Linked DNA regions of Saccharomyces cerevisiae S288C. Changing the gene in region 2 together with the main gene of any one other region gives a genetic interaction. Each region holds a gene or a part of one and is shown on either strand. Other genes may lie near its edges.

Region 1 (4,816 bases), 210 kb from region 2:
TATTGAAGTAACCTGGGACACCACGGCTTAACAGTGGGTAGTTGTCAGCGGTCACTGTTATCACACCGGTGTCATCTTTCAACTGTAGAATATCATCTATATTATGGGATGCAGTGGCTGTGGACTTCTGAAACTTATGGAATATAATGGCGAGCCATATAATAATGTATGTGCTACACCACTTCATATTTTTTTTGTATGATTCAGTTCGCGGCTCTCATCTACATGCAATTTTATTATCAAAACTTCTGAATCCAAGTTCCTATTTTATTTTTTTGCAGTTTTCAATTCGCGACAGTAGCTCACTGGCATAAAAGACTAAAAAGGAAATGAATAAATGAATAAATAAGTAAATAAATAAATAAATACTGCTTGTGATAGTCTAAATAATGTCAGATATAGTTAATATTTGTACGTATGAATGCCTTTTTGAATTGCGGTACCTTAAGTTATGTTTCGTTTGCGGAAGCAAGCTGGTATCATGCTGGATGTATTTTTTATCAGAGTCGATATTTCAAACCATTAAGCCTGTTTTTTATGTCCTTCAATTGCTTTGTCTCAGGCTCCCATTCCTCAAATTCCTTAAACAACATCTTGATTTCTTCATTACTGAAATGCTTGTTGGACTCGTACATCAATCCCCTCATACACCATGGCAGACGATAGGGGTTGGCTCCTAACTCAGACAATTTATATGGTGAGTACTCAATTGGATACATTTCGGACAAATCGGTTGTTTCTAATGCAAATTTGATGCCCAGATGGTAGACCTGTTTCTCATTATAAATGGTAGAGTGACCACCTCCTGTCAGGGTGCCCGCCAGAGATCCGCTTATTTCCTTTATGATTCCGTGATCGTTATAACCCAGGTTTAAGAGTGAACCAGCAATTTTAACTATGCGAGTGATAAATGCTGGAGTTTGTGATCCTCTATCAATAAAAATGGCCCGAAATATATTGGGATGGTTGGCAAAAAGACATGTGGATGAATACAGAGGGACCAGTTGATCATTGATGGATCCCACAAATGTAATCTTAACGTTATTTGATATGATTGTTCTTAGGCCTTCTATGAAGCTTTGCGATTGTTTGGAATCAAACTTTTGAAACTCGAATAACTCCCTCAATGAGTCTTTTTCAATCGTCTGGTAAGCACGAACAAACAAAGTTTGATCTGCACCGTAGAATGGACCATTATTGATACCTGCCATGGCCAAGACCGAGATAATTTTTTTGGACGAACAAAACTGAATTTCATCGTTGAAAAATTGAGAATTATCAAGGTTTATTATGCCGTTTTTGATCAGCTTCGCTAAAAGCATAATGGTTACCGGACACCCCTGCGAATGGCTAACAAAATAAATAAAATCAGAATTGTTTATTTCTTTGCTCCAATGCTTCATAACTTCGTAGAAGAAATCTACTCTATCAAATATCTCTCCTTCTCTTTCAAGAGCGATCTTGCTTATTTCAATGGGTACTTTATGTTGATCAAAATATTCCTTCACTATTTCCTCAGCTTCTGTGACAAACTTGGTAGATGTACCCGTTGGCTCACCAATAAACGGTCTAATAATTTTTGTTGGAAAGAACCCATGAACGCCGACAATGAGAACTCTGATGGGCCTAGATTGGTAATCTGATAGAAGGTTTATTTTTTTCCATGGATCAACCCTAAATAGAGATCCTCTGTTGTGTTCCAACCGCTCCTCATCTTTTGCCTCGTTTGCAACTGTGTTTGTTTCCTCTTTTAACTGATTTTGTGAGTGCTGCACCTGTTCTTCCCCCTCTCGTACCCTTGATGAAGGTCTTCTATCCCAGTATTCAGTCTTCCACTTCCAAATTGTGGATGTGACTGTATTCCATATGGTTTGTTTCGGTAAAATATCGAAACTTGGTACAACAATGTTAGGAAACTGATTGCCTATGTCATCTGTTAATTTCTTAGCAGTTTTGACACCTTTATCTCTGATCAATATAGCATCAGGTTTATAAGGTATGTAAGTGTTGGTTAGAGGAGCCGGATTTAGACTATTTGCTAAACGTGATAAAGTGTTATTATCCGCATCAGTGGGAATGTTATGCGTCGGCTCCGGATCTTTTTTGTTACGGCCCCAAAAGAATGGCCATGCTCGTGGTCTTGTGTTTTTTTCTACTATAGCTGCATTTCTGTCTTTTTTGTCCTTCTCACCCTTCTCGATCCTGGTGGTTTCCTTTAAAATCGTTGTTTGTTGATTATCGTGCAAGCGTGTTCCCTCATTTGAAACATTGTCATTTTCTTGACTGTTGTCTTGGGCGGTTTCCTTTCCTTTATTTTTATTAGATAACTCCGGTTCTTCCTCGTCATTACCTCCCCATATAGACCAGGATTTGGTTGTTCTGTGCTTAGGCTCACTAGGCCCCATACGACCAGACTGAGTATGTACTGAGCGCAGTGAGGTCGTTGAAGATTTCAGACTGCTTTTCGGCGAGGAATGCAATGGAGTCGTGACCATTCTACCTACTGGTACTCTGTATATAAGTCTCTTCCAATTCTTCGTAATGGTGTCTATTTGTAGTGCAAAAGTGCTATCCAAGAGCAGTGATAAGCCCACTATATGTATAAAGCCGAATCTAGTGACTGGTGGGAATAAAAAAGATAGTTTTCGAACTATTCTTATATGAACTTTCCATGGAATTACCTCACGTTGTTCACATTAGTGACTTGTAAAAAGCTTTACATATAAACTCAATATTTTCCCTATTGTCAAAACCTGGAATGTGTCCGCAACGCGTAATTCATCCATAATGATATATATTATCAGAAGCTGTACACAAGCCGTTCACATACATGTGGTGCATGAGAAGATTGCCAACAAATTCAGTTATGACGGTGGCTCGAAAGAGAAAGCAAACTACGATCGAAGACTTCTTTGGTACAAAGAAAAGCACTAATGAGGCGCCCAATAAGAAAGGTAAATCGGGCGCTACTTTCATGACCATAACAAATGGCGCAGCTATCAAGACAGAGACAAAGGCGGTCGCAAAGGAGGCAAACACGGACAAATATCCTGCTAATTCAAATGCAAAAGATGTATATTCGAAGAACTTGAGCAGCAATTTACGTACACTACTGTCGCTGGAGCTAGAAACGATTGATGATTCGTGGTTTCCACATTTAATGGATGAATTTAAAAAGCCATATTTTGTAAAGTTGAAACAGTTTGTCACTAAAGAGCAAGCTGATCATACAGTATTTCCGCCTGCAAAGGATATTTACTCATGGACCAGGCTAACGCCTTTTAATAAAGTTAAAGTCGTGATTATCGGTCAAGATCCCTACCACAACTTTAATCAGGCGCATGGCTTGGCTTTTAGCGTCAAACCCCCTACACCAGCACCACCGTCATTAAAGAACATATATAAGGAACTGAAGCAAGAGTATCCTGATTTTGTTGAAGATAATAAAGTGGGAGATTTAACTCACTGGGCTTCACAAGGGGTTTTATTGCTTAATACCTCGTTAACTGTAAGAGCACATAATGCAAACTCGCATTCTAAGCATGGTTGGGAAACTTTTACAAAAAGGGTAGTTCAGTTGTTGATCCAGGACAGAGAGGCCGACGGTAAGAGTTTAGTATTCCTCTTATGGGGGAACAATGCTATCAAATTAGTAGAGTCTCTGTTGGGATCTACTTCCGTTGGAAGCGGTAGTAAGTACCCTAATATCATGGTGATGAAGTCAGTGCATCCGTCTCCATTAAGTGCAAGTAGAGGATTTTTTGGTACCAACCATTTCAAAATGATAAACGATTGGCTATACAATACCCGCGGAGAGAAAATGATAGACTGGAGTGTTGTTCCTGGAACGTCATTAAGAGAAGTTCAGGAGGCAAATGCTCGCTTAGAGTCAGAATCAAAGGACCCTTGAATATTACTATTGCATATGCAGGTCTCGATTTCCAAACTCTTTAAAAGCATATAATAGATAAAAAACTAAATAGACTACTTTGTGGCACAAAGCAGAAAAGTGGATTGAATATTTTTCAATCTAAAAAGTAAATATTATACAACCAAATTGAGAGAGTAAGGAGAAGTAAGAAAAATAAATTGCTTGAAACCGGCAGAAAGGAAGCTTGAATATGGGTCAGGACGTGAAACATATCATTTTTTCAACGCTTCCTTTTGAGCGTTCAGTAAAGTGAACACTGGAGCATTCAACTTACTCCTGCCTTTCAAGAAATCCAACTCCATAACAAAGTTATATTCCAAAAGGTTGGCTTCGAGTTGTTCAACTAATTCGCCGGCTGCAGCAGCAGAACCACCAGTGGCAATAATGTCATCAACAATGATAACGTTGGAACCTGCTGGAATAGCGTTTTTCTGTATCTCAAAAAGATCAGAACCGTACTCCTTTTCGTACGTAGCCTTAAAACATTCGCCAGGTAGCTTACCTGCCTTCCTGACTGGAACGAAACCAACACCTAGGGCCAAAGCTAAAGTTGGTCCGAACAAGAACCCACGGGATTCCAACCCGACGATATAATCAATTTTAACTTCTGGAAAAGCTTCTTCTAAATGCAGTTTGAAAGCATCGATCAACTTCTGGAAAAGACCTGGGTTCCTGAAAATGGGTAAGAAATCTTCGAAGAGAATGCCTTCACTAGGGAAGTTTGGATATTGATGTAAAGCCAACTTCAACTCTTGGGCATAACTTGCTATAGACATGATTAGTAGGAATATTTGCGATAGATTTCTTTGAAGCAGGCAAAATGCGTGAAAATAGATTTTATGGATATTGAGTCAGACGCAAGATGCATTTTACCTTCCCAATGAG
Region 2 (8,327 bases):
TTGCAACTTTCCGGGAAAAAAGGTTCAAACGGATATTGCAAATAATACATGATCAGCACATTTTTCAATTCTTTGCTTATGTGATCTCCCGCCATATATAGTCTTAACGCAAAGGCCATACTCTTGCAACTGATAATGGGTGGTACACCTGCATACCCAGTACATAATCCAGGAATAATAAGACCATCAATGTCTTTTGGAGAATGCATCAAGGCATTCCACATGGCGTTGAAAACCGGTTCAAACCCTGTCTTGAGGGGATTCTGCGGATTAAATATAGGAGCTGATGGGGCTACAACGGTCGGAACATGAATAATATACCTAATACCATCTCTACATTCAATTGTTTTCTCTTCAAGACATCGCTGTAGGTCAACCACTGTAGCAGATCCGACCGTGTGATATCTTCCTCCAAGCTGATTCCTGAACCATGTTTCAAAGGGCTTTCCCCCGAAATAATTATACAAAGCTTTATCGAACCCTCCTCCAAGATAGCCATACGAGTTACCAGGTGAAACAATTGCGTAAGAGTGGCCATGATGGATTGCATCACCTTTACGCATTGAATCCATAAGAGATTGAAGGTGCCCATGATGAATACAAAGATACTTATCATTTTGAATATATGCATGGGGTATAGATTCCTGCCAGAGATTGGTAACTACTTCGTTTGTATCGCATAATATTATTCTCATTTTTTTTACCCCGTTCAAAAGTGAGTGTCTGTTTAAAGATCCTGTCATGATTATGAATGTCTGCAGTTTTCCCAATTTTCCCAGTTCAAAATTACGAAGATGGCTTGGTGGTTTAAGATGTATTATGGACCATTATACATAGGGGATTCAATTCGTAAAGTTTAACCGTTAATAAGAAACACCCACACCTGAAGTTTTTACGAAAATCAAATGCTTCTCTTCTGTTATTGTTTGCTGCTAGGAACACGTATAGGAACACGAATAGGAACACGAATATTTATTGTTCATCCGATTATATCGCCATTGATTGCAGTGGAAACGGCAAAAAAAAAAAAGCATATAAAATGGAGATTTCTTGATTATTCATTATTAAAAAATCCTTTATATGTTACAGTGCATGGAAGCCATCGTTCAGAAGTTGAACGAGCACGAAAAAGAATAAAATACATAACTTGTACAAGGAGAGAATTTCTGCCGAGAGTCCCTATTTCTTTCTACCAAAGATTTTTTTCAGTTTTTTGCCGAAACTACCCTTCTTTTCTTTTGTAACGCTGACTTCCTGTGCTTGTGGGAGCCTGCTTTCGCCGTTCTCTGGATTACTAGAGAAGCGTAACCTATTGGTCATCGAAGGGTTTGAATTTTTTGCAGGTTCAGCTTCACTGGCAGCTCTTAAAGATAACCCGCTGAATTTCTTGTCCACCTTTTTACTTGTAATGGCAGGATCGGTGGTAGTATGATTAGGACTTGAGACTCCAGGGGAAACCACATTATTTTCCTTTTGCTTACTTTTGCTCTTGAAAAGCGAAAAAGCACCGTTACCACCATTACTATTTTTGTTACCGCTGGTTTTATTGCCTTCTGTTTCTGTGTTGTATTTTGATGGGCCTTGGTTGAAAAATTGGGACTCATCTTCTGAGTCTGAATCCGCAAATCTTGATGAATGACCCAAATATTTGAAAAACTCCTGTGCTGTATCGGTTCGATTCACATTTGTGCTATTCTGGCTAGCTTGCCCATTATAGCTTTCACTCAATGCCTCCTCAAAATTACCATTTCTCAAAGAAAGCTTTTTAAATCCGAGATGGGATTCATTGCTTCTCGTCTTCTCAAAACTAGATTTGCGAGGAGGTGGTTCTTTGGGGTACAAAATACTATTCATGTCCTTCGTTGAAGGTTTATTGTTTTGCGCGATCTGTGATCCTCTCTTTATATTCTTATTGATTTGGTTTTTAGGTTTATTTGGGCCATTTGACTCATATACACTTGCGGGCTCTTGAATTTGCTGCGAATTTTTAGACAGAGAAGCCATAACCGAATTTCTTTTTGGTTTACCCTTCTCTGGGGTTCCTAGGGGTATAGCAGAATGGCGTTTATTGTTTATTTTCTCTGGGGGAGAAGGCGAATTTGATCTGATGCTTCTGAACTGGCCTACTGACTGAGGTCTTTTTATAGAAGATCGTTTTAAACTTGCTCTGCGTGATACGCTGTCGGACATCGTCATTTGAGCATTTAATCTCGTATTTTCAGCAGTCGTAAGAGACAGGTATGCGCCATTGGCGGGAGAGTTATCAGAGTACATGGATGAGTCATGGTTGGACGATCCTGACGATTTTTTAAGAGCAGATTTGATTGGTGTAACTACTTTCGTTACAGGAACCATAGGAGCTTCAGGCTTGTGAAACTTTTCTTGCTCAGCTTGTTTCGATTGGTTTTTTCGAGAAAGGTAGGTATTTGAGGTCCTTAAATACTGAGCCAAAGAAGGCGTTGGTTCTGTTTGATTAGAATGATCGGTGTTCTTGGAGGAATTCGACTTGCTCGTTTTCTGATCGCTTTCTTCTACTGTATCGAAGAATTCATCCTTAGTATCGCCAACATTCCCTTTTTTGGAAGAAGTATTAGCACCAGAAATTTTCTCACAACAATTGTCTGGCTTTTCAACTTTTTTTGAACTCTCGGTCCCTTCCAAGGTATCCTTCTCTTCTATTGAGCGGGATTTTTCATCAAGGTCTTGTGTGGGAGACGATGTTGTGTCATTCTCTAGATTTTTATTGCCATTTTCTGGTTTGGAGTTTTCAACTGATCCTTGGGCCGAATAACTGCCGCTAGAAGAAATGTTGTTCAGTTGTTCAACCGACTTGTCATCCACTTCGGCCTCCGGAAGAGGATGTTCTGCTACTGGTTTATTCCCCTCCCTCTTCTCTTCGTTGTCGTAATTAAAAGTTTTCTCAAGAGTAGATGCTTGACGGTTATTTTTTGGCCATTGTACATCGCCTTTTACAGTTTTTTCGCTTATGAAAACATCTTCTTGATCAGAATTTAAAGGTTTTTCCTTCCCTTTTTCTTCAATAAAACTTTCTAACTCAATGTTTTCATGTATTAGTTTGCTTAGATCATCTTTTTCAATGTTTAGTGAAGAAGGTTTTTCTAGATTATTTTCGCTATTGACTACTGTTTCGGATTCGGAAGAGTTAGAATTATCAAGTTTCAACTCTTGGTCTGTTTCTTCACGAACTTGTGTTTCAATGAGAGGAACATTTGAATTTATTGGATGTTTCTTGGCAAGATTTCTCTCCTGAACCGCCTTTTGGCCTTTTTTTGCTTGTGTACTTGATGTATTCCCTAAAGACGAAGTCTTCTTTGGTTGAGAATGTAAAGATTCCTGCGATACTTTTTTTCTTAAAAGTGAACCATTTCTTGCATTCAAGGCACTGTGGGCAGAGTTGGAACGCCTTAGCAATTTAGAAGTATTGGCATTGCTTGGTTTTTCAACGGGGACCTCAATTGCAACCAGCCCGTTGGGCCCAGGAATATACTTTCGCGTAGTCCTCAAAGGAATAGACCCGCTAGGATTTTCAGTACGGTGTTGTCCCGTTAAAATTCCTCTGGCCTGTGGTCCGCCAAAATCCTTGAACGTACGTTGAGCCTCATCATAGCTTATTCTTTGGTGTGTTTTGGACTTTTGACGTTGTAAACCAGAACTGTTTCTGCTTTGCTGACCTCTCTGGTTAGGGAGACTCGAAGTTCTATTGTGAGACCTAGTTTTGTGCTGCGGTTCCTTCGTTAAAGGAGAATTTAATGAATCTCCCTTCCCCATTGATGACCGTTGGGTAAGGCTGTTTATTTTCCCGGGACGACCTTTACCATCGCTCCTTCTAGATTCCGATGATATACTAGAAATAGAAGACATTCTTTTGGGGGCAGAAGGTTTTCTTAAGTTTGTCATCGAAGCGGATCGATAGGTCGGCCTTTGTTCGTTATCAGATTGATTACCCTTCTTCATTAATAATTTACCGATACTTGCTGCAGCTGCCACTGCTGTCGGGTCCGCCTGTTCCATTTCTGGTGCAGTTGTTCTTCTTCTAAACATTTTTAGGAACGAACGGCTGGTGATTTGTGGAATTGGTTGGTATGGCTACGTGTTGCTGTTGTGTTTTATATGTTTTTATCCAATTTGTCGGTAAAGTAAGGGAGCACTGAAAATTTAGCGAAGAAATGAATACTTCCTTTAAGGTTATCTATCGTCCTTTTTTGCATGTTGACCCTCGCGCCACACGGCCAGCCCGCTGCCGCAGTGAGCTAAAATTGGGCCTGCTTAGCGGCGACGCGACGGGATTTTGCGGATTTACTGTTGACGTTAAAAGATGTGGCAGTGACACCAATTGCAAGAGATTACCTTGACCAATAATTAAGTTATTTGGCTATAGAGTGTGAACATCTATTCTACATACTGCCCAAAATATAAGTACTTGTTTTAATGAAATTAGAAGGAATTAAAGAACACTTTTTTATATATCCGGGGCCGACATCGCCGAGTCCCTTGGCAAATCAACTCCGATGTCTTTCTTGATCGCTAACCAGTAAGAAATTAATTGTAAAGGAATAACGTTAAGTATCCCTTGGAGACAATCTACGGTTTGGGGTACCTCGAGTGTAACAACGTTTCCTTTTTGTTTGTCTTGCTCCCATATCTTATGCCCCTTGTTACAAATGATAATCGGATTGCCCTTCCTTTCTATTATTTGGTCAATGCAAGACGCGATTTTGGGCGAAAAAGCATCCTTTGTCGCAAAGGCGATAATTGGCGGATTATCAGATGCCACAGCTAGGACTCTGTGTCCTAGCTCGTTGGTAAGAATACTTTCAGAATGCACGTAAGAAATTTCTTTCATCTTCGAGGCGCCTTCCAAAGCAGAGGCAAATTGGTAACCTCTTCCTAAAAGCAAAAATGTATCATGCTGTTTTAGTTTCTTGTCACACAATTCAATAATCAATGGTTCAAGCTCCAAAACTTCTTTTATTTGGCTTGGGACTATAGTTAAGGCTTGAATTATTTCTTTCCTCCTTTCTATTTTAGACACCAAATCTTCCGACATCCATAGGGCAATCATGACTAAAGCGATGTATTGAGAAGTATAAGACTTGGTTGTTGCAATACCTTTCTCGGGGCCTGTGTTTGTATGAACACCGCAATGTGTAAATCTTGAGATAGAGGAACCGCTGCAATTAACTACCCCGATTGTGACTGCCTCTTTTTTGATACAGTAGTTCAAAGCATTAATTGTATCAGTTGTCTCCCCACTTCGAGAAACAAATATGCAAACATCGTTCCTGAAAATGCAACAATTGCGGTCAACAAAATCCAAGGCCAATTCAACGTTTACTGGAACTTCCATTAACTCCTCAAAGATGGGACGGGCAGCTAGGCATGAATGGAAGGAGGCCTTGGATGCAATCATTATTATTCGTTTTGCTCTTCTCAATTCTGTCAACCAATTTTCTAGTCCTCCCAAAACTACTCTGTTTGTAAAGGCGTCAACTCTTCCTCTCATGACATTTTTTGTTGTTTCACACTGCTCGTATATTTCCTTTTGCATAAAATTATCGTAAGGGCCTTTTTTGATTTTGGACAACTCCAATTCTAATTTTTGAACTGTTCTAAATGAAAAGTCCTCGGAACCAATTTTAGAACAATGGATATGAAGCTCCCCATCATAGATATGGGCAATATCATTATCCTCCAAATATACTACTTTACTCACATACCGCGCTAGTGATGCACAATCGGATGACAAATAGAATTCCATGGGTCGCGGCAAGCCGTTCTCGGCTGGCGTTTCTGTGGATGAGCCATGATTGAATGTAGAAGTTGTAGAGTTTCTCAGGTATTGTGAACGAAGGGGGGTGACTTCCTTAAACAAGTGTTATATTTTACAGGTGCGGCAGCCAAGACATTACCAGAACTCTTGGTTTGAGTATTAAGCTTCAAGTAGTCTTCTTCTTGATCCAAATATTCCACCTCGACAAAGTTTACGTCCATGTCAGTTTTACCTTTAACACCAATAACTAACGGGGAACCCTTTCTTGCGGCAACCACTTCATCGGGAAAATGAGAAGAAGTGCATAGCAGACCATAAGAGCCTTCCAATTCTTTAAGTACTAAATTTGTTAATACATGGAAATCGAGGTTGTACCCGAGTTCAATGCTTGTATCATAAATGTGTTTGTACAGTTTAGGAATACATTCGGTATCAGTGTCACTTTTGAACACATAGCCCTTTGCCATCAATAAGGCTTTCAAATTAGCGAAGTTGGTAATAACCCCGTTGTGTACCACAACAAATTCATTAGATGGATCTGAGTTATGTGGATGACAATTTGCACGTCTTAGCCCTCCATGTGTTGCCCGCCTAGTATGGGCAATGCCACAATGCGAAATAAAGGGCAGGTTCTTATTAAGATTGTAAAGGTCGATTTCTTCCTTCAAACTGCTTATTTTACCGGTTTGCTTATAAATATTGAGAGACTCCAGCTCATCACCTTGGATCGAAATTCCACTGGAGTCATATTCCTTGTACTCCAATGCCTGTAACCCTTCGATTAAAGTGTCGATGATTTCTCCTCTTGTCTTCTCAATTAAAAAATTGCAATAGCCAAAAATGCCACACATTCTTCTTCTTATATTGGGTTTTTAATCTAGTTTATTGGATCATCTTTTGAAAGTCTTTTTTACAAATTCCTTTTGTTTTATAATTTAATTATAAATGTTCAAAGACGTTTCTGAATTGTAAATATAATTCAGGGGACGGCATCAGTTTGATTCCATACACTACGTGCTAGTCTAGCCCAGCATGACTAAAACGAAAAGGGGCGCCTTTAAAAATGAGGAAGAAATCCAAATCCTAATGACCTTCAAGCGCATTTTTGGGGCTGATGTTTTAGTTCGAATGTCTCCTATTGTTAAAAGAAAGACTGCCTCTTACCTGCTTTGAGAGAGGCTGATTATTAAGAACACAGGACCCTTAAATCGGCGGCTTGTGAAATTTCTCCGAATTAAAATTCTGGATGTTCAAGAAAAATATTCTCTTCGGCCCTTTTATCGTGAGAGTAATATCGAAGTGTGCAAGGAAAAATCAAAAACGTGAAAAAACTTATACGGTTAGGTTTGGGCGGCTCGATGCTTGATGGTGATAATGTCTCTCAAACGTTCTATGTGTCGACGGAAGCCAAATTTGGGCTATTTCCATTATCACTACTTGATATAGAAAAAATACTGGTACTGCTTCTTGATTTAGTGATTAATCTTTGCTCCACTATATATTTATAAACCTCATCATTATAAACAAAGACTTTCATAAAAAGTTTGGGTGCGTAACACGCTATTATTTACTAGTATCGACGACGTATCTACCCAAAATCTTGCCCTTTTCCATCAAGTCATAAACCTTTGGTAATTCAGATAATCCAACAATTTTGATTGGTGATTTGATCAAACCTCTGCTAAAGAAGTCTAAGGCTTCTCTCGTATCAGCTCTGTTACCAACATAAGAACCCTTGATATTGATGGACTTCACCACATGAGAGAATACCTCTGATTTAACGTAGGCGTTAGCGGGCAAACCAACCAAAACGACGGTACCACATGGTCTAACATATTCCGTAGATAGAGAAATAGCGGCTTCAGAAACGGAAACGTTAATGACACCATGAGGGCCACCTTTGGTAGCTTCTTGAATGTCAGAAACCATATTCTTTGTTTTAGTAAAGTCGATGAATACTTCACCCCCCAATTTCTTGAAAAGTTTTTCCTTTTCCTCACCTGCATCAATACCTAGAACTCTGTAACCCATCGCAGTTGCATATTGAACGGCCAAGGAACCCAAGCCACCTGCAGCACCAGAGATGGCAACCCAGTCACCAGCTTTCAAGTCTGCCTCTTTTAGTGCTTTATATACAGTAACACCAGCACATAATATTGGGGCTACTTCGGCCAAGTCGGTACCCTGTTGAATTTTGGCGGCTTGAATAGCATCAGCGGTCGCAAATTGTTGGAAAGAACCATCATGAGTGTAACCAGATAAATCAGCATCTGGACAATTTGATTCATGACCTGATTCACAGAATTCGCATGTCATACAAGAACCGTTCAGCCATTTGATACCTGCTAAATCACCGACTTTCCAGCCCTTGACATTGGAACCTAGTTTGACAACTACACCAGCACCTTCATGACCACCTACTAATGGTAGTTTAACAGGTAATGGCCAATCGCCGTGCCAAGCATGTAAATCGGTGTGACATACACCAGAATATTTAACGTTGATTAAAATTTCATTTGGCTTAGGCTCGGGGACA
Region 3 (7,725 bases), on a different chromosome or scaffold from region 2:
AAATTATAATATTTTAAAAGTTTATGCTTTTGTCCTTTTATATTCAAGTCATTTGGCCATTATTACGCTTTTTTTTTTATTAGGTAAGTGGTTTCAATAATTAAATTCTTTAGCGGGAAGGCTGACTATCTATAGTATTGAAGATAAGTTAAATTAATGTTTAGTTCTGATATTTCATTTTTATTATTAATTAAATTTGCACTATTCGCCATGACGGGTTCACCCGAGTATTTATTTTGCTTTCGTTATACATATATATATATATATATTCTTCCAGGAGAAATACCTGCCTTCTCTCTTACCCCTTGCTCAATCTAAATCAATCCGTGACCTTAAATCTTCTAGCAGAATGACTAAGTCACAATCGATTTTAGAAATTTGAATAACCAGCTCAGAGATATTACTGACAAAAAACTTGTAATGGCACTGTTTTAGCAAGTTTAAGATAAATGTATCCATTAAGAAAGCATTGATTTTATTCGGACCATAATAGGTAGTCACTATTAGAATATCTAAAAGTTCTAGACCAATACCATCTAATTTGTGCTTATTCAATGCGTTGGTCATAAAATTTCTTATTACAGGCTTGATGAAATCCATTATCACATTTAATTTCAACTTGTCCTTTAAATGGTAGTATAAGTTAGGAAAGTCCTGATAGAACTTCCCCTCAGTAACCGTGTAAGAATTCTTGTTGTCCTTATTGTCATCGAAACGACTATTCAACCAGGTAACGTTTTTCGTCAAATTGATGAAAATAGACCGGGATAGAGTTTCCTGCTCTTCGTTGTTACAACATTTCCTTATTGCTAGATACAATGAGTTGTTCGCATACTGACTGAAAAATCCGGCTTCGTCTAGTTCGCTATAGTGATATAAACATCTCTTGTATATTGGAAGACGAAAATCGTTCGGTATCCCAAACCAATATAAGTTATGCTTACTTATCACCAACAGCAGGTCCGTCTCATCGCCAGATGTATGACAACTTCTCAAATTGCTCCAAAACTTTTCCAATTTTAGTTCTCTTCGAAATAAGTTTCTATTTTGAAACTTTAAATTTAAGATGTTCCTCTTTGTTTCCGATTTAATGAGGTTTTGTATGGATGGATCAGTATGAGTGCACAAGGTTTCATCGTTATTATTGGCAATTAATGATAACGATTCTTTTTCACTATTGATTTTCCTTTTATTTTCCTGAATCAAAGAATCTACACTCAAATTTTTTTGTGGTCTAATGACTAATGAAGATGATCCTGATGAGTTCCTGTTGTTGTTTGGAGTAAACAAACCATCAGAAAACACAGAAGACGCAGAAGAAGATGAAGAAGAGTACATCGTTGATCTGTGATTCGGCGAAGGGGCCACAGGACTCCCCTGAGAGTTTGCTCGAGGAATGGCAAAGTTGTCTATTATGGGGACAGCATAACTAATGAGATTAGTATCTTTATCTATTGTTGTGTCCAGAATTGTTGTCCAATCTGTGGTCCCGGAATGTAGGGCCTCTTCTTTCAAATCGTTTCTTGTTATTCTATGCCTGCTATGGAATAGCCGCTGACTGGGTGGTACGTACTCGTGCATGATATTATTAACCATGAGTTGTAGCTGTTTTGTTATATCCAAAGAATTTGGCTAACGTATCCTTGTACGCGTGATTTATTTATATATACGTGCAGCACAATATATATATATATATATATGTATGCGTGCGCTTGGTTATGGCTCAGTAAAGCGAAAGTAACGGAATAAGCGAGGGAAGGGGGATCTAGCGATGAGGGAATGGCAGTAACAGACTGTTCCCTTACAATACACTCTTGCTAAATTACATCAAGGATAATATACTATTTTAAAACAAAAACCAGCCATTTCCCTAAGGACGCGAAACTTTTGTGACGCGTTTCAAATAAAAAAGAATACTGCAAAACGCAGCACAATAATTAGATAAAACTAGTGGCATATGTCACTAATTAACTATATAGTCACTAATACTGTATATATAGCCGACACAGGCTACACAAAACACAAACGCAAAGGAATTAGGAATGTAGGTAGGTACACCGAGGCTAACTGACACTTCTGGGTCATGGACAAGCTTGTTTTTAGCACATCGTAAGGAATGTAACCACGCTTGAAAATAACAACGATACATATCAAGGTAGTTAGAGAGGCATTCCAGCCATAGATACGCAACCACTTTTTCAATCTGCTATTTGTATTAACTTGTAATTCGCTTGAATTCCAGAATTTATTGACGAAATAGACGAAAAGGGGTAGTTGCAGAACTAGCTCAAGGACTACAAACCAGTATAGCCATTCTGGTTTCTCTGATAGCAGGAAATCGTGTTGCTTTGCGATGTGATCACTAACAACCTTTTGCGCAATCCCTAGTTGCCATTTAGCGGGAATAACCACTGATGAGTCGATGAATATGGTGATGGGAATGTGAACGATGAAGTACCACAAGTAGAATTGTTGCTCACGATGTCCTAGCTTCATTATCTCCGGTCGCTTTTCTCTATATGTTTTCACGTGAGTGGCTCGTTTCTCGTACTTATTTGCTGCGGTTGTTCCTTTTATACCTACTAATTCGTATCCTGTACAAAAGCCGATAATTCTTTACTATGTTTTCAAAGGTTTTTTTTTTTTAAACGATATGCAAATTATTAATTCTTTTGAATATTTCTATGTAATCTAAACCACTTTACAATATACTATATGGAATACGTGGCGAAGAAAATTCCATTATCTCACCTCCGCTTCTTTCTCATCTCTTTCATTTTCTTGTAATGTGCCTTCCTACCGCTCGTAGATTTCTCCTGAATTTCGTTGTATTTACGCTTGAAATACTTATTAGAAGCTTCATCACCCATGAGTGTTTCCAAAATAGTCGACTTTCTTTCCTTCCTGTTCATACGACTACTATAAAACTCACTCTTGTCTTCAATTATGGTACCAATAGCAAACCTCTCTGGCACCTCCCAACGTTGCTTCTTATAATGTCTCTTTGGATCAAGAGCAGCTCTATGTTTAATCAGCAATAAATCTCGTTGAACTTCACGACGCATGTTATCATCTGGCTTTGGTAAGGTAAACCAGTCATTATCGTTTTTGTCGCTCTTGTTGGGTTTTCTTTTATCTTCTGTCTCCACACTAGGCAAGACGTTCTTCTTCTTCTTCTTGTTTGCTAAAGCATCAAATCCGGTTTCTAACTTAGGAAGCTTCTTAAGATTAGTTTCGATCTCTTGAAATTTACTTTCAATTTCTACTTCATCATCATTATTGCCTATCTGCAAAACATCCTCTTGTTGAAGAGAAACTTGTTCCTTCGCTGAATTTTTTACTTCTAGACTGGCACTAGCATCTCTTAGTGCTCCAAATAAGTCTTCCACACTTTGATCCATGTTTAACAGCTCCTTTCTCACGTCCTCTTTAATTGGAAAACTTGACGTCTCATCGCATTTTCTATTTCTTTTCTATCTTCTGTTTTAATATGCTGAAAAATTTTTAGGCCGGCACTAACCACGAATTATGATAAAAGAGAAGGATGTTTAGAGAAAAGGTTTTCGTGTGAAAGGGGGAATTGCGTTGTTAACTGACATAGCTGTCTTCAATGGAATCATAACAATGAAGTTCGAAGACCTCTTGGCAACCAATAAACAGGTGCAGTTTGCTCATGCAGCTACTCAACATTACAAAAGTGTCAAAACTCCAGATTTCTTGGAGAAAGACCCACATCACAAAAAATTTCATAACGCAGATGGCTTGAATCAACAAGGTTCTTCGACCCCATCTACAGCTACCGATGCAAATGCCGCCTCAACTGCTTCCACTCACACAAACACCACGACATTCAAAAGACACATTGTTGCCGTGGATGACATATCGAAAATGAACTATGAAATGATAAAGAATTCTCCAGGGAATGTAATAACGAACGCTAACCAAGATGAGATAGATATAAGCACCCTCAAGACAAGGTTGTACAAGGACAATCTTTACGCTATGAATGACAACTTTTTACAAGCTGTCAATGACCAAATTGTAACATTAAATGCAGCGGAGCAGGACCAAGAAACTGAGGACCCTGACTTATCAGATGATGAAAAAATTGATATACTGACCAAAATCCAAGAGAACTTGCTTGAAGAGTACCAAAAACTTTCACAGAAAGAAAGAAAGTGGTTTATATTGAAAGAACTACTGTTGGATGCAAATGTAGAACTCGATTTGTTCAGTAATCGTGGCAGGAAGGCAAGCCATCCAATCGCATTCGGAGCAGTAGCCATACCAACGAACGTCAATGCGAATTCACTAGCATTTAACAGAACCAAGAGAAGAAAAATTAATAAGAACGGCCTTTTGGAAAACATTCTTTAAGCCAAGATTAACATAAGACAAGTTTGCAAAATCCCCAACTTCACTTCCATATGCATATTCATTTAGGTATATATCGTATATTTGAGAAAAATTCATATATGAAACGTTATTAAAACATGAAAAATAGAATGTGTTATCGGGCTTAACTATATTCTGCCATTCAATGCGTGTTTCTTGACCATCTCTCGCACTACCTCTGACGGTACATAGAATGGGTTATGCTTCTTTGTCTTTTTCGTGTGCTCATATTGTCTTTGGTTCTCGAACTCAACCTCCTGGGTTAAATTTATATTAAAGAACAAGAAATCCTCTATGCTATCATTATTATCTTGAGATTCCATCTCAAATAGTTCAGAAAATCCGGTGTTCCCGAGGTCATCGTATTGCAATTTTTGTTTGTCTACCTCATTACTCAAATTGCTATTGGAGGTGCTTTTGATAGCATCACTACATTTATTATGAAGCATATCCATTAACTCCGTCCTGAGTTGTTCCGACGTGTGTCAACAAAAGGATTTACTAAGAATGTTGTATTTTGAGTTTTAAAAGGACGTGCATATGCACATACATATATATATACATATATGCGTATTTATCATCACTCCGTGCTGTTTAGAAGCTGCACATATTATGCATCTATCGCGATAGTATTGTGAGTTGGAGATAAAGATTTAATCATTTGTGCAACAACCGCTTTCTACTGTAGGCATAGAATTTCGCGCATCCCACCCCTTATTAACAATCACATTTTTTTTTTTTAATATTAATGACTCCGGTGGTCGTGATTGTAATCTTGATAACAATCGCGATCATGATCACGTTCTTTAGCCTCATTATCGAACAGTACTGGAGGTGAATAGGCACACCGTTTATCTAAAAGTTCCATGATCGTGGATTGGTCCCTCAAGATGGAATCATACGTATCTACACCACCGTATCTACTAGTGGTAAATCTCAAAATATCCCCAGTGTTGCCACGGTTCAAAACATCAATGTGGTCCAGTAATAGCTCATACGGATTCGTTCGTGGACGAGGCAGTGCTCCTCTATGAATATTGAACCGATGTTTAATTTTCCACATCTGAGATTCTAATTCAGAATAGTTTCGACGTCTTGCGTCCAATTCTGATTGCGTCCTTGGTTTAACTTCGTAATATAATTGTCTATGTAAGTCTTGGTATTCTTTGGCGAACATAAAGTGATTTGACCTTAATTGCAACTCCAAGCTGCTTGTAGTATATGGTCTTTTCATATCATTTGATTTATCCTTACTCGACCTTTTAATAGAAAACCTCCTGATGAAGTGTGGCACAGCAACCACTCCAAATTTTTCTAGAGGCTTTGTGGGCTTTGTTGAGCTTCTTTTGTCAATTCCAAGGCAAGAAAAGTCGTCTTCATCGGCCAAATATTCATCTTCAAATGTATGTATCGTATCATCAGGCAAGTGTTTATCATCGTAGCCTGTATCTGCTTTAGTTGGAGATTTTACTCGTTTTTGACCACCAGATGTATTTGCGTCGCAATTGCTAATGTATTCTGCACCTAAATACAACTTTTCTAAGTCCGCTGGTAAAGCTGGATCATTGACACCCAGTGGACTTGTCATCGTGAATCGTTGTGTTAAACTAATGAAAGAACCTTCCTTTACATTTTTGTCCACTCTGTTTTTGCCTTTATCTTGATCCTCGTTATCACCATCGGTAAAATCTTGGCCGCTATTAATTCCTGAAGCAACGTTAATACCACCACCAATCCTGCTGTCCAACATCGACAAGGCATGCTCACACCTTCCACCATTTATTGATAGCCCACTTAGTGTCAGTAACCTCGTATAGAATCCATATAGGAAATTTAAATTTGAACACGAAACACCATACTTTTTGGCCAAAATGATGGGCTGATGCAAAAGAATTTGAGCAGGATATTCAAATCGGTGGTAGAAACAATAAGGCTCAAACGGTAAGGATAAATATTCCGGATGTTCGTTTGCCGTAGAGTTGATAAGTTGCAGTTTTTTACCTTTGCAATATTCTACGATTTTCCCAAAATTAATCTCTTCTTCACCTTGTGATTTTACTAGCAAAAACCTTGCAATTTTGCTTCCACATTGTGCAAAGCAAATTCCAAGTAACTCTTTCACCAGATCTTTAAAAATAATTTCTGTGGATTTGTTTTCTAACATTTTCTCATAATCAAATTGTTCATAGATGATAGAAAGGATGTTAAGTGAGATTTTAGGAATAAGCAATTCCCACATTTTCAATGCCATTTGTTTTGGGTCCAAAATTAATTTAGATTTCATCCATTTCGCAACGGTCAATCCAAGAAGGAACCTGCGAACATTTGAACCCTTAATCCCTTGCAATTCTAACGAAGCTGCTTTCGTGTTTTCCAGAATGGTTGGACTTGCTTCAAAATTAGCATCACAATAAGTTAATCCCAAAGTTATTACACATTGATCGTCGTTGACCAATGCATATGATCCAAGCGATAACTGTCTGCATTCAACCTCACACGAAATGGAAATAACACACTTGCACTTCCCTCCAAAATAACTTATGGCTATGGGCTCCAGTTCGCAACCAAAATCAGTGCTAATAAGCACAGTCGTATTGTCGTTCGTGTAATCTGACAACAATCGACAAGTTGTTTCGAAAGACTGTAAGGAAATTGCAGACACTAACACAATGTCAATTGAATACGTATTTGCACCGTTATGTTTTAATTTGTGGTGCAGCTCTTTAATATCCTTAGTGAGAATGTTTGGCGTGTAGAAATTGGCGCCTAGTTTTGTCGATTTCCAGGCAACTAACTCGTCACTAGACACATATTGCGAGACCAGTATTATAAAAGAGTTGCTCAAACTTAGTCTCCATCCTAGAAATTGTGCTGCTGGTGTTTCTCCAACTGTAAAAAAAAGGAAATTTAAATTTACATTTATATGTTAGTAAATTTTTGTTCGAATGTCTGTTTTCTTAAACTTCTTTGCCATACCTATTAAGCACGTTAATTGGTTTTCTTCCATAACTAATGCGAGTTCTTGCCTTCAAAAAAAGAAAGAAAGGCTTAGGAATACAATTTGAACTAGTATTTGTATCGTGCGTCTATGTGCTTTTGTTAATATGAAGCGTATTATTAACTCCATTCATTTTACTTTTCATTCAAATTTTGATAGTATAATATGCCTTTGTCTGCCCGGACCCTGAATTACTGACACAAAATGAAGGGATCAGTGGCCCTGAAAAAAAAAAAAAAAAAATAAACGGCGCGCGGAGTAATTATGATTATGATTATGGTTATGATTATTATTACAACTCACTATTCTAAGTCTATATCGTAAATAAGGGT
Region 4 (9,489 bases), on a different chromosome or scaffold from region 2:
TGCTGTTGCAAAGGGAGCTCGTTTACTTCAAGGTGGTTCCCGCTTCAAACATCCAAAGTATCCACAAGGTCATTATTTCCAACCAACTCTTTTGGTGGATGTCACTCCAGAAATGAAAATAGCACAAAACGAAGTGTTTGGCCCAATTTTAGTCATGATGAAAGCTAAGAATACTGACCATTGTGTACAACTAGCCAACTCTGCGCCATTTGGTCTAGGTGGTTCTGTGTTTGGTGCGGATATCAAGGAATGCAATTACGTCGCAAATAGCCTACAAACTGGTAATGTAGCCATTAATGATTTTGCTACATTCTATGTTTGTCAATTACCATTTGGTGGTATCAATGGTTCAGGTTACGGTAAATTTGGTGGTGAAGAAGGTCTTTTGGGTTTGTGCAATGCCAAAAGTGTCTGTTTTGATACTTTGCCTTTTGTCTCCACTCAAATTCCAAAACCATTAGACTACCCTATTCGTAACAATGCTAAGGCTTGGAATTTTGTAAAGAGTTTCATCGTAGGAGCTTATACAAATTCCACATGGCAAAGAATAAAGTCACTGTTCTCTTTAGCTAAAGAAGCCAGCTAGTTTACTTTAGAGGAAGCAACAAACTTATCAATAATTTGGTATTTATTATTATATAAAATGAACTTTTTATGTACAAGATTTATGATTTTTTGATTCTATACACGTTACGAAATTCCTCATTTTACAATGCTTTTTTCAACTTTCTGGAATTGGTCATGAAGCTTGTTCACGTAATCCTTATGCAGTTTTTCCAAATCCCTCTCAGCTTTTCGAACGGCATCATCCTTTTTGAAACTTTTGAATTCCTTTAGAATACTGCCTCTGATAGTTCCTAATGAGTCTTTTAGCGATGACTGCTTATATTCTTCAAATACTCTCTTTAAGTCTTTAGCTACTTTTAACCGGGATTCTGTAGTTGGTGGTGGTAACGAAACTTTCAATTGCAAATCGTTATTTGGGACCCTTTCAGGAGTTAAATTCAGGTTCGCAGCAAGCACCCCACTGATCACAGTTTTCACATCTTTGGGGTCGAAAACTGTTATTAAAAGTGCATTTTTACCTTTCAAGGATGTGGTAGCAATATCTGTAAACTTTCTGTTATTTTTGAACACTAAACTATTGAATACCTTAGGATTAAAATTTCCCTGTTTTATCTCATTCATTTTCTGTTTTTGAATTTCTAAAGTTTTTTTGAATTGAGTTTCTGCCTTTTTCAGCAGTTCATTCACGTCAATTTCATCTTCTTCGACTTTCTCAGTAGGGGTAGAACTTTTTTTCTTCAAAATTATGAAAGATTGACTAAAAGAACGATTAAATAGACGAGGAACGGTGACTGGTCTACAATTTAATCTAGCTGTGGTTAAAATCATTATTTCTTGCTGTTATTTTTCTTGTCAGGGACTGCTCGCCAAAGTTTCCATCTTTAAGCTTACGAATGGACGTATTTAATAAATTGATGTTCTGTTTCCGGACGGGTCCTTATGCCAAAAACAGAATGAATATGCGGCGAATAAATAGCAACGTGAATAAGTAAGTCATGACAGAATATAGAACGGGAATTTGGACGGTTGGTTCAATGAATATTTTTAAACTATTTACCTAGATAAATTAAAATTGTAAAACTAAAAAAACCTAATGAAGTAATCAAAACCCTTTTTTCGATAATCTAACATTTACATGAGTTGATGGATGAAGTGACTGCATTCGCGGTTCTATTCCACAAAAATTTTTTTATTCATAATTCGATGGATATTTGAAATCAGTCAACTCGTAGAAGTTCTCCTTTGTGTTTCTAATACTGACAAATCTGCTTAAAATGTTTGGACCACCAGCCTTATCGTCGGTACCACTCATTCTTGCGCCACCAAACCATTGCTGAGAAACAACGGCACCAGTACACTTATCATTTATGTAGAAATTTCCTGCGCTAAACTTCAACTTCTCATCTGCGTATTCAATTGCTTTACGATCTTTGGCAAAAATAGCACCAGTTAAGGCGTATTGACTCGTATTATCGATAATATCACAGATTTCATTAAATTCAGTATCTGGATACTCGTAAACAGTTAATATAGGGCCAAAAAATTCTGTTGACATATATGGATGATCTGGTCTCTTGGCTTTTATGACTGTGGGTCCGACAAACCAACCTTGGCTTTTATCGTATTGTCCACCGTAAAGAATTTCCAACTCGGGGTCTTTCTTTGCATCTTCAATTACTTTAACTAATTTGTCGAAACTTTGTTCATGGATGACAGGACCCATAAATCCCCGCAAATTCCCACCAGAAATTGGACTTGCGGATGTGTTCATTGGGACAACATTCTGTGACTGCAATATGCCAAACATATCGGATAAGAATTCTTCACTTTTTGACTCTGGAAGATATAACCTGGAAGCGGCAGAGCACTTTTGGCCTTGGAACTCGAAAGTGCCTCTAATAGTAGAGAGTACTGCATGTGATATATTTGCACTTGGGTGAACTAGATGGAAATTTTTACCACCTGTCTCACCAATAATACGGGGGTAATCTCTGTACTTCCCTTCAACAACGCCACTTTGTATTTTGCCATACAAACTCTTAAAGACATTTGTAGAACCGGTAAAATGCAAGGCACCAAAATCTTTATCAGCTAATACCTGGTCAGTAACTTGAACTGGATCACCTGGAATGAAATTTATGACACCCTTTGGCAATCCCGCTTCTTCCAAAACAGTCATCAATAAGTAATTTGAAAGGGCAGCGGTTTGTGAAGGTTTCCAGACAACTGTATTACCCATCAAAGCTGGAGCCCCAATCAAGTTTGCAGCAATAGCAGTAAAGTTGAATGGTGAAACAGCATACACAAATCCCTCTAAAGGTCTGTATTCAGCTTTATTCCAAGTACCATCCGCTGACTCTACGGGTTGTTGAGCATACAAGTCTGATGCATACTTGACATAGTATCTAAAAAAGTCAGATAATTCCGTGATACAGTCGATTTCTGCCTGATACACATTTTTTCCCTGGCCCAGCATTGTAGCAGCTAACATGTCATAACGATACTTGGTGGAAATTAAGTCAGCGGCTTTCAAAAAAATTGCAGATCTGTCATAAAACGGTAGATTGTACCAATCCTTTTTGGCATCCTTGGCGGCTTTTACAGCATTCATGACATCTTTTTCCGTGGCTTGTGTGACGTTTGCCAGTACTTGTTGATGGTTCGCAGGGTTAGTCTGCGGGAAAAGCGCTCTTTCATTATTGTCATATATCCTTTCCCCATTGATGACCAGTGGCACTTCTAAAGAAGAACTTTTGAATTTCATCAAGGAAGCCCTCAGTAAGTCCCAGTCTTTTAAGTCTATGTTTCTAAATGGCTTAACAGGTTCATTTCTTATGTGCTTGGGGGGCTTGATGTGTCCCAGTTGTGAGAAAGATCTCTTGAAGTATATAGATTTGAGGCACCTTGCTGATAGCATAATTCCTGTGAATTTGAATTGGCCTTCTATACAATATAGATTATATTAACTTGTTTGTATTATTACATATTTTCCATGGATATACTTCTGGAGTAAAGTCAGCTGTCCTGTCACCCTTATATAGTAGGCCTATCCAATTTTTGTCGGCTTCGGAGTTGGCTTCCCGAGATGTCCGATGGCGTAGATAAGCATTGTTACTGTCCCAGATAGCACAATCTATTGCTTAAGTAGGTGTGAGTCCTCTCCAGATGCTGTCATAGATGAGTGTGTTTCTTCTGATGTCGGCGATTTCGGTGAAGATGGCAAGGGATATGTTTTGATGCCATTGCCATAGTAGCTCTTGGCTCTTACAAAACCCAGTAAGAAATTCGAACTGAAACACCAAGTTATCACACCACAAAAAATAACAAATAGTGTTTTCCAGTTTAATGGATCTATGAATGAGTTGATAATGTCTCCGAACAATTTTGCGCTCAACGTTGATCTTGCACGGAAAAAGATATCGTTATTTCTGTCCATACACTGTTTCCATATAGCACATTGTTCGCCCAGAGCCGGCAAGCCAGGCGTCTGGTTACAACGATTTGTGAGGTACTGCTCTTGACAAATTCTGGATTCGTACTGCAGTTCATGTTTTCTTTGTTCCCATGTGGATTTCAAGTCCTTTTGAAGCGCTATGATAAATGAGAGTATAAAACTAAAAATCACTACTGTAGTGATCGCATTGAGAAATAACTGTAAATATGACATTAGGGCATATGACGCTCTTGATGCCGGATGTGAATTGGGTGACCATGGTTTAGGCAACTTGAAAGCTTCATTTTGGTCGTAAAATTCATCTATTTTATTGTGATTTGGTTTAGTAAGAGAATAAGTTTTAATGCCGTCCTTATCTGAATAGAAGTAGTTGTGTGTATTGAATGAAACCTGAATTGGTTGATATTTTGATCTTGATCTTAATTCCCTCTTGATTATTTCCGAATCGAACGCATTTGCGTACTGGCTTGACTTGTGGTTGCCAAGTGATGATTTGATCTCATCTTCGACTTCTTCATTTCTGATTATGTCTTCACCCTCTGCGTTGTTATTCGAACTTTCATTGTCATCTTGATTGGCCGATGGTGGTAATGGCACAACACCTTCAACTTTAGTAGCTGCGGCCACACCTAAATCGGTCGGTGATAATAATGCCTTTATGACAGTTGAACGATGCGGTGAAACAATGTTCTCGACCTCTTCTACACTTTGGTCTTGGCTTTCATTCTTCTCTTGCTTTTGTCTTTCTTCTGGGGTAGCCTCGATTTCTTCCACCACGGCATTCTCAGTCGCTTCAGTATGAGTTTCGATTGGCTCGTTATTATATTCTTCTTCAAAACTTGTATCATCAACCTCATCTATTTCCATTCGGTCATCTTCTTCCTCATCAGCTTTAGCAGCACTAAAATCCAATGTATTTCGCAGAGGTGATGGGCTCGAGGGAAAATGGGGCATAAATCGGTTGATAAGCTGTGGTGACAAAGTTGGCCCCTGCTTAGATATACTTAGGTCGGAGAGGCCTCCTAACTCCTCGTCAACGTGTTCCATTCCGCTAGTGAAACTGTCTCTTATGCTCAAATTTTCAAAACTTTCCATATGGAAGATCCTATATAACGTTATAATACAACTACTCAATAAGCAAGTATTGCGATAAACAAGCGACTATTTGATGAGATGCTATACCTTTGATGAAATTAAGGGCCCAACTTGCTTTTGTATCTTCTATTGTCTTAGGGAATTTTGCTCTATTTCATCTAAAGTTTTTTTTTCTTTACTTTTTGTTTTCGCCAATACAGGCGTCGCAAAGTGCAGCAAGAATATTTAGCGAGTTATTTGCTTCCACTTAGATCGGTGAACAAGTTGAAATATTCATTGAATGTCATATCCTCTGTACCAAGAGTTTCCTTGTCAGTGATGTCCAAGGGAATAATTTTGCTTTTCAAGAAACGGTCCTGACTGCCACCGGTTTTAGTTTCAACATATAATGGCTGCGGAAACCTTTGCAAGTCATTTAAAAGCTTGCAACAGAGCTCGCGACCTTCTTTTTCCAAAAGTTTTCCCCTTCTTAAAACTAAGTACGAGCCACCATCTACACAAATGGTGGTTTTATCATCTTGAAGTATCTGGGCTCTTGTTAATGGGACATCCAACACGATCCAGTCGTGTTTCAAATCACTGTAACTCCAGATGAAGGGTTTGCATAATGAAAGGCATGTGTCTTTAGAAGCGTTTATTATTCGGTGAAGAAAAAGGTACCTTTCATCAGGTGAAGTATTCCGAACCGATAGAATTGGAGACCTATATATATGATAACACCACTGTATCAGATTGACCATATCTACGTCTTTTCCCCGGATTTGATTTGGTAATAGAAACAATTGCTTCATCAATTCTTTAGTGTGCTTGGATGAGTAAGCAAAGCTATCGATAATTCGTGAGGCTATCTTTTTCATTGAAAACACAATTTCATTTTGTGCCCCAAATGATCTATTGGCTTTTGGCAATAAGAGGGTTTCAATTCTTATGTATTTTTCCGTTTGATTTTCAAAAGTGGTTTGAAACTGTATAGGAGCTTCAGCTGAATTGTGACCTAGTGAGATTTCTAATGGTAGAGAAAGGTTTTTAGGGTTTAAGCTATATTTTGGGAAGTCCTTAACGACAATAGCGTTCTTTGCGGTCATTATCTTTGAATGACAATTGTAAATGGCATTATGGTCACGCAAGTTCAGGTACTTTTGAAAAGACATTGCGAATCTCTCATCATTGAATGAATCAAACTGAGAAACTGCCATTGACGAAGTTATTAATGGACTCATTTCGAGTATACCGATTTGATCCAATGAAGCTATAAAGAATTCATAGATTAACGATTGGTTTGCAAATTTTTCAAGCATTTTCTTGTAAAATTTTGTCGGACTTTTTGATAGTTGCAATTGTGAACTTTTGGATTCAAAATGGTGGTTTTGTCTCATGCTTTCACCACGTTCTCTTGACATAACTTTGCCGCCACCCTTAGTACATGGACCATTCAGGAATGAAACTATATGACAGTAGGCTGACAAACTGCACTGAGACGCCAGTACGGATGAAACGAACAGCGCTAATCCGGTGCAACGCTTGTCCCTTTTAGAACTGATATTCACTTTGTTTGCAATCTTGCATATTTCCCGTAGCAATTTTCTTAAAGAACCCTGAGTAGATTTATCAAACCAGTATGATTCTTGATTGATTTCTGAAATTTTTTTCTCGAAGTAACTGGCATTTAATTTATCAAGATTATATTTGGTCATAAATTCATTTATTGAAAATACAGCATCACGTCTGTGATTCACAGCATTGTGTAAAATCACATGACCTGATTGCTGAATAGTAATTATTGATAGTGGCTCTTGTTGTCTTGTGATGTAATTATTACATAGAATGGAAACTAAATAATTTAGCTCATGAGGATCGCAAATAGCGTCTATAATCATAATGGTCCGTCTTGAAAGTATTTCTTTCTTTGCAGAAGTCAATGTATAGGTGTTGGAAGGTACCAGTGGCAATTCAGCATTTGAGTTTGATTGGTTGCAGAATAGACAAGTCCAAACATTCTGTTCTCGTAGGGAACAAGCCATCGAATAATAGGCGCCACATTTGGTGCATTTTAGATTTTGGTCATAGTTCTGCGTCACAGCATCGCTGGAAAAGGGCTCATATAAGAAATTAGTTGGAGAACACATAGGCACTTCCTTGGCCAAATTTGGTGCTAGATTGCAGTATTGTACAAATACAGGATTCAGTACCTGATCACTATTTTTACTCTTGATATTTTTTTTCCTTAAAAAAAATCAGAAGACAATAATGATAGAAAAAAACTAGGAATTCTTGAATTCATATGCATGGAAGAAAAAGGAATACAGGGAACAGACTTTTCAAAGCGAACAAACAGACCTTAACCGATGGCCGATTTCTTATTGAGACCAATTAAGCAACGTCATAGAAACGAGGACAAGTACGTGTCGGTGGACGCTGCAGACGGATCGGTGTCTAAAATTGAGCCCATCGCAGATTTTGTAATTAAGACAAAACTATTATCCGCTAATGGGCCGGAAAAACTGCAAGATGGCAGGAAGGTGTTCATCAATGTTTGTCACTCTCCGTTAGTGCCCAAACCTGAGGTCGATTTTAATGCAAGGATAGTGTTCCCGCTCATCATCCAAAACGAATGGGAGATTCCTATTATTACATCCTGCTACCGCATGGACCATGACAAGAAGGGGCAGGAGTGCTATGTGTGGGATTGCTGCATAAATAGCGATTGCTCGCGCTGGATATGCGATGATATCCAACTGCGAGAGATACTGGTCGAATGGTGCTTGGAGTCATGTGAGATCCGAGATTCGGTGGTATTGTGCAGAGATCGCATTGCATTCCCCAAGATGAAGAAGAAGGGCGCTGAGCTTCCTGCACTAGAGGTATTGAATGATGAGTTACATCAAGATTACAAGGCAAAAATGCATAAAATCATAGAAGAGGAGGCCGGAGACCCGATGAGTATATTGAGAGGAAGGAATGACGATGGCGATGATAATAATGATCCCGACGATGGAACACTACCACCATTGTTCCCTATCGAGAACAAAATCTCCGGAGCCAAGATAGAGGAGATTGATAAGAACGAGATTGCTCACAGAAACCTGAAACAGGCACCTGCACCTGCACCTGCACCGCACGAGCAGCAGGAGGACGTGCCGGAATACGAGGTAAAGATGAAGAGGTTCAAAGGGGCCGCCTACAAGCTGCGAATTCTTATTGAGAACAAAGCTCCGAACTCGAAGCCGGACCGGTTCTCTCCGAGCTACAACTTCGCAGAGAATATTTTATACATTAACGGTAAGCTGAGCATACCTTTGCCGCGCGACATAGTCGTGAATGCAGCAGATATCAAGATTTTCCATATCCGCAAAGAACGCACACTATATATATATATATAAACTAACATTTCGAGTATTCTTTTGGTTTTTGTTGTGACTAATACGAACGAATATATAAAAGCGGGAAAAAGGAGAGAGATATGATGTGCATCTATAACAGAATTTTTTTTTTTTTTTTTAATCCGGTAAAAAAAAGGGAATATTCTCAAAATTGCGGAGGGAAAGCGATGTTTTCTCTATGTGCTACGTATTCACTCACACTGTAGCCCAAAACATCGTGAATCTTCTCACTGGGTAAGCCCTTGATCTTCGCAAGCTCCAGACTCGTATAATTGGAGCGGACGCATCCAACAGACTGAATCGGCTTCGAGATATCCAATTCGCCATTGGGTAACCGCTGGCCTATTTTGAGATCAACGCATTCAAGTTCGTGGAAGTTGTCTCGGACTTCGATCACGGCGTTTGGAGTCAGACTAGCCATATCCTTTGACAAAAGTTTATCATAGCTGTTCTCGTCGATGATAATGGCGCCCTTGGTAATGAGCCCGTGCAGAATCCAAAATTCCCTGTTCTTAAGCTTGTGTTTGTTGTCATTAGCTAAGAACTTGGTGTGCATGGGAACATCGTAGCGACGCAACTGTTCGAGCTCCGTATCCTGAAGATCGAGAAACTGCTGCTGTGTGCCGTTTCCGATATGGCGCGGAGGGCGGAAGTGATGCTGAATGTAGTCAACGATCTTCGGGACGTACTCTGGACGGTCGCTCTTCATCACAATAGTCTCGATACCGGCATTAGAGGCGAGGTCGGCGGCTATGAGTTTGGTGCGCATTCCGCCCGTGCCAACCTCGGAGCCTGAACCACTGGAAGTGTTGACGCCCGGAAGGCCCTCTGATAGCTCTGGCACGAGAACAATAGGACGAGCATCCGGATTAGTGCGCGGATTGTCTGTATATAGGCAGTCCACATCTGTGAGCAAGAACAGGAAATCCGCCCCTACAAGAGCAGCGGTAATGGCAGAAAGCGTGTCGTTATCGCCGAACTCGATCTCGCTAA

Evidence for each region.
Region 1: mutations in YMR084W (region 2) and YML020W together harm fitness more than expected from each alone (negative genetic interaction), as found in Saccharomyces cerevisiae (one large-scale study listed by BioGRID).
Region 3: mutations in YMR084W (region 2) and NRS1 together harm fitness more than expected from each alone (negative genetic interaction), as found in Saccharomyces cerevisiae (one large-scale study listed by BioGRID).
Region 4: mutations in YMR084W (region 2) and PUT2 together harm fitness more than expected from each alone (negative genetic interaction), as found in Saccharomyces cerevisiae (one large-scale study listed by BioGRID).

The regions. Positions count from the first base shown.
Region 1 is NC_001145.3:228,828-233,643, reverse strand, and holds YML020W (uncharacterized protein), read right to left. Parts: upstream 2,496-4,816; coding exon 501-2,495; downstream 1-500. Other genes in the region: OST6 (dolichyl-diphosphooligosaccharide--protein glycotransferase), read right to left, coding at 1-187; UNG1 (uracil-DNA glycosylase), read left to right, coding at 2,831-3,910; adenine phosphoribosyltransferase APT1, read right to left, coding at 4,144-4,707.
Region 2 is NC_001145.3:434,943-443,269, reverse strand, and holds YMR084W (putative glutamine--fructose-6-phosphate transaminase), read right to left. Parts: upstream 6,643-8,327; coding exon 5,854-6,642; downstream 1-5,853. Other genes in the region: PDL32 (putative ADP-ribose 1''-phosphate phosphatase), read right to left, coding at 1-743; SEG1 (Seg1p), read right to left, coding at 1,180-4,062; YMR085W (uncharacterized protein), read right to left, coding at 4,481-5,779; alcohol dehydrogenase ADH3, read right to left, coding at 7,355-8,327. UniProt on the Saccharomyces cerevisiae protein: Involved in amino sugar synthesis (formation of chitin, supplies the amino sugars of asparagine-linked oligosaccharides of glycoproteins).
Region 3 is NC_001144.5:243,577-251,301, forward strand, and holds NRS1 (Nrs1p), read right to left. Parts: upstream 4,851-7,725; coding exon 4,524-4,850; downstream 1-4,523. Other genes in the region: MLO50 (Mlo50p), read right to left, coding at 310-1,596; EMA19 (Ema19p), read right to left, coding at 2,011-2,496; FCF2 (Fcf2p), read right to left, coding at 2,748-3,401; IES3 (Ies3p), read left to right, coding at 3,625-4,377; OSW2 (Osw2p), read right to left, coding at 5,141-7,284, 7,372-7,402; SAGA complex subunit SPT8, read right to left, coding at 7,696-7,725.
Region 4 is NC_001140.6:175,972-185,460, reverse strand, and holds PUT2 (1-pyrroline-5-carboxylate dehydrogenase), read right to left. Parts: upstream 3,485-9,489; coding exon 1,757-3,484; downstream 1-1,756. Other genes in the region: MSC7 (meiotic recombination directing protein), read left to right, coding at 1-586; RRF1 (Rrf1p), read right to left, coding at 703-1,395; BRL1 (Brl1p), read right to left, coding at 3,701-5,116; GTPase-activating protein NEL1, read right to left, coding at 5,350-7,242; PIH1 (Pih1p), read left to right, coding at 7,462-8,496; YHR033W (putative glutamate 5-kinase), read right to left, coding at 8,642-9,489.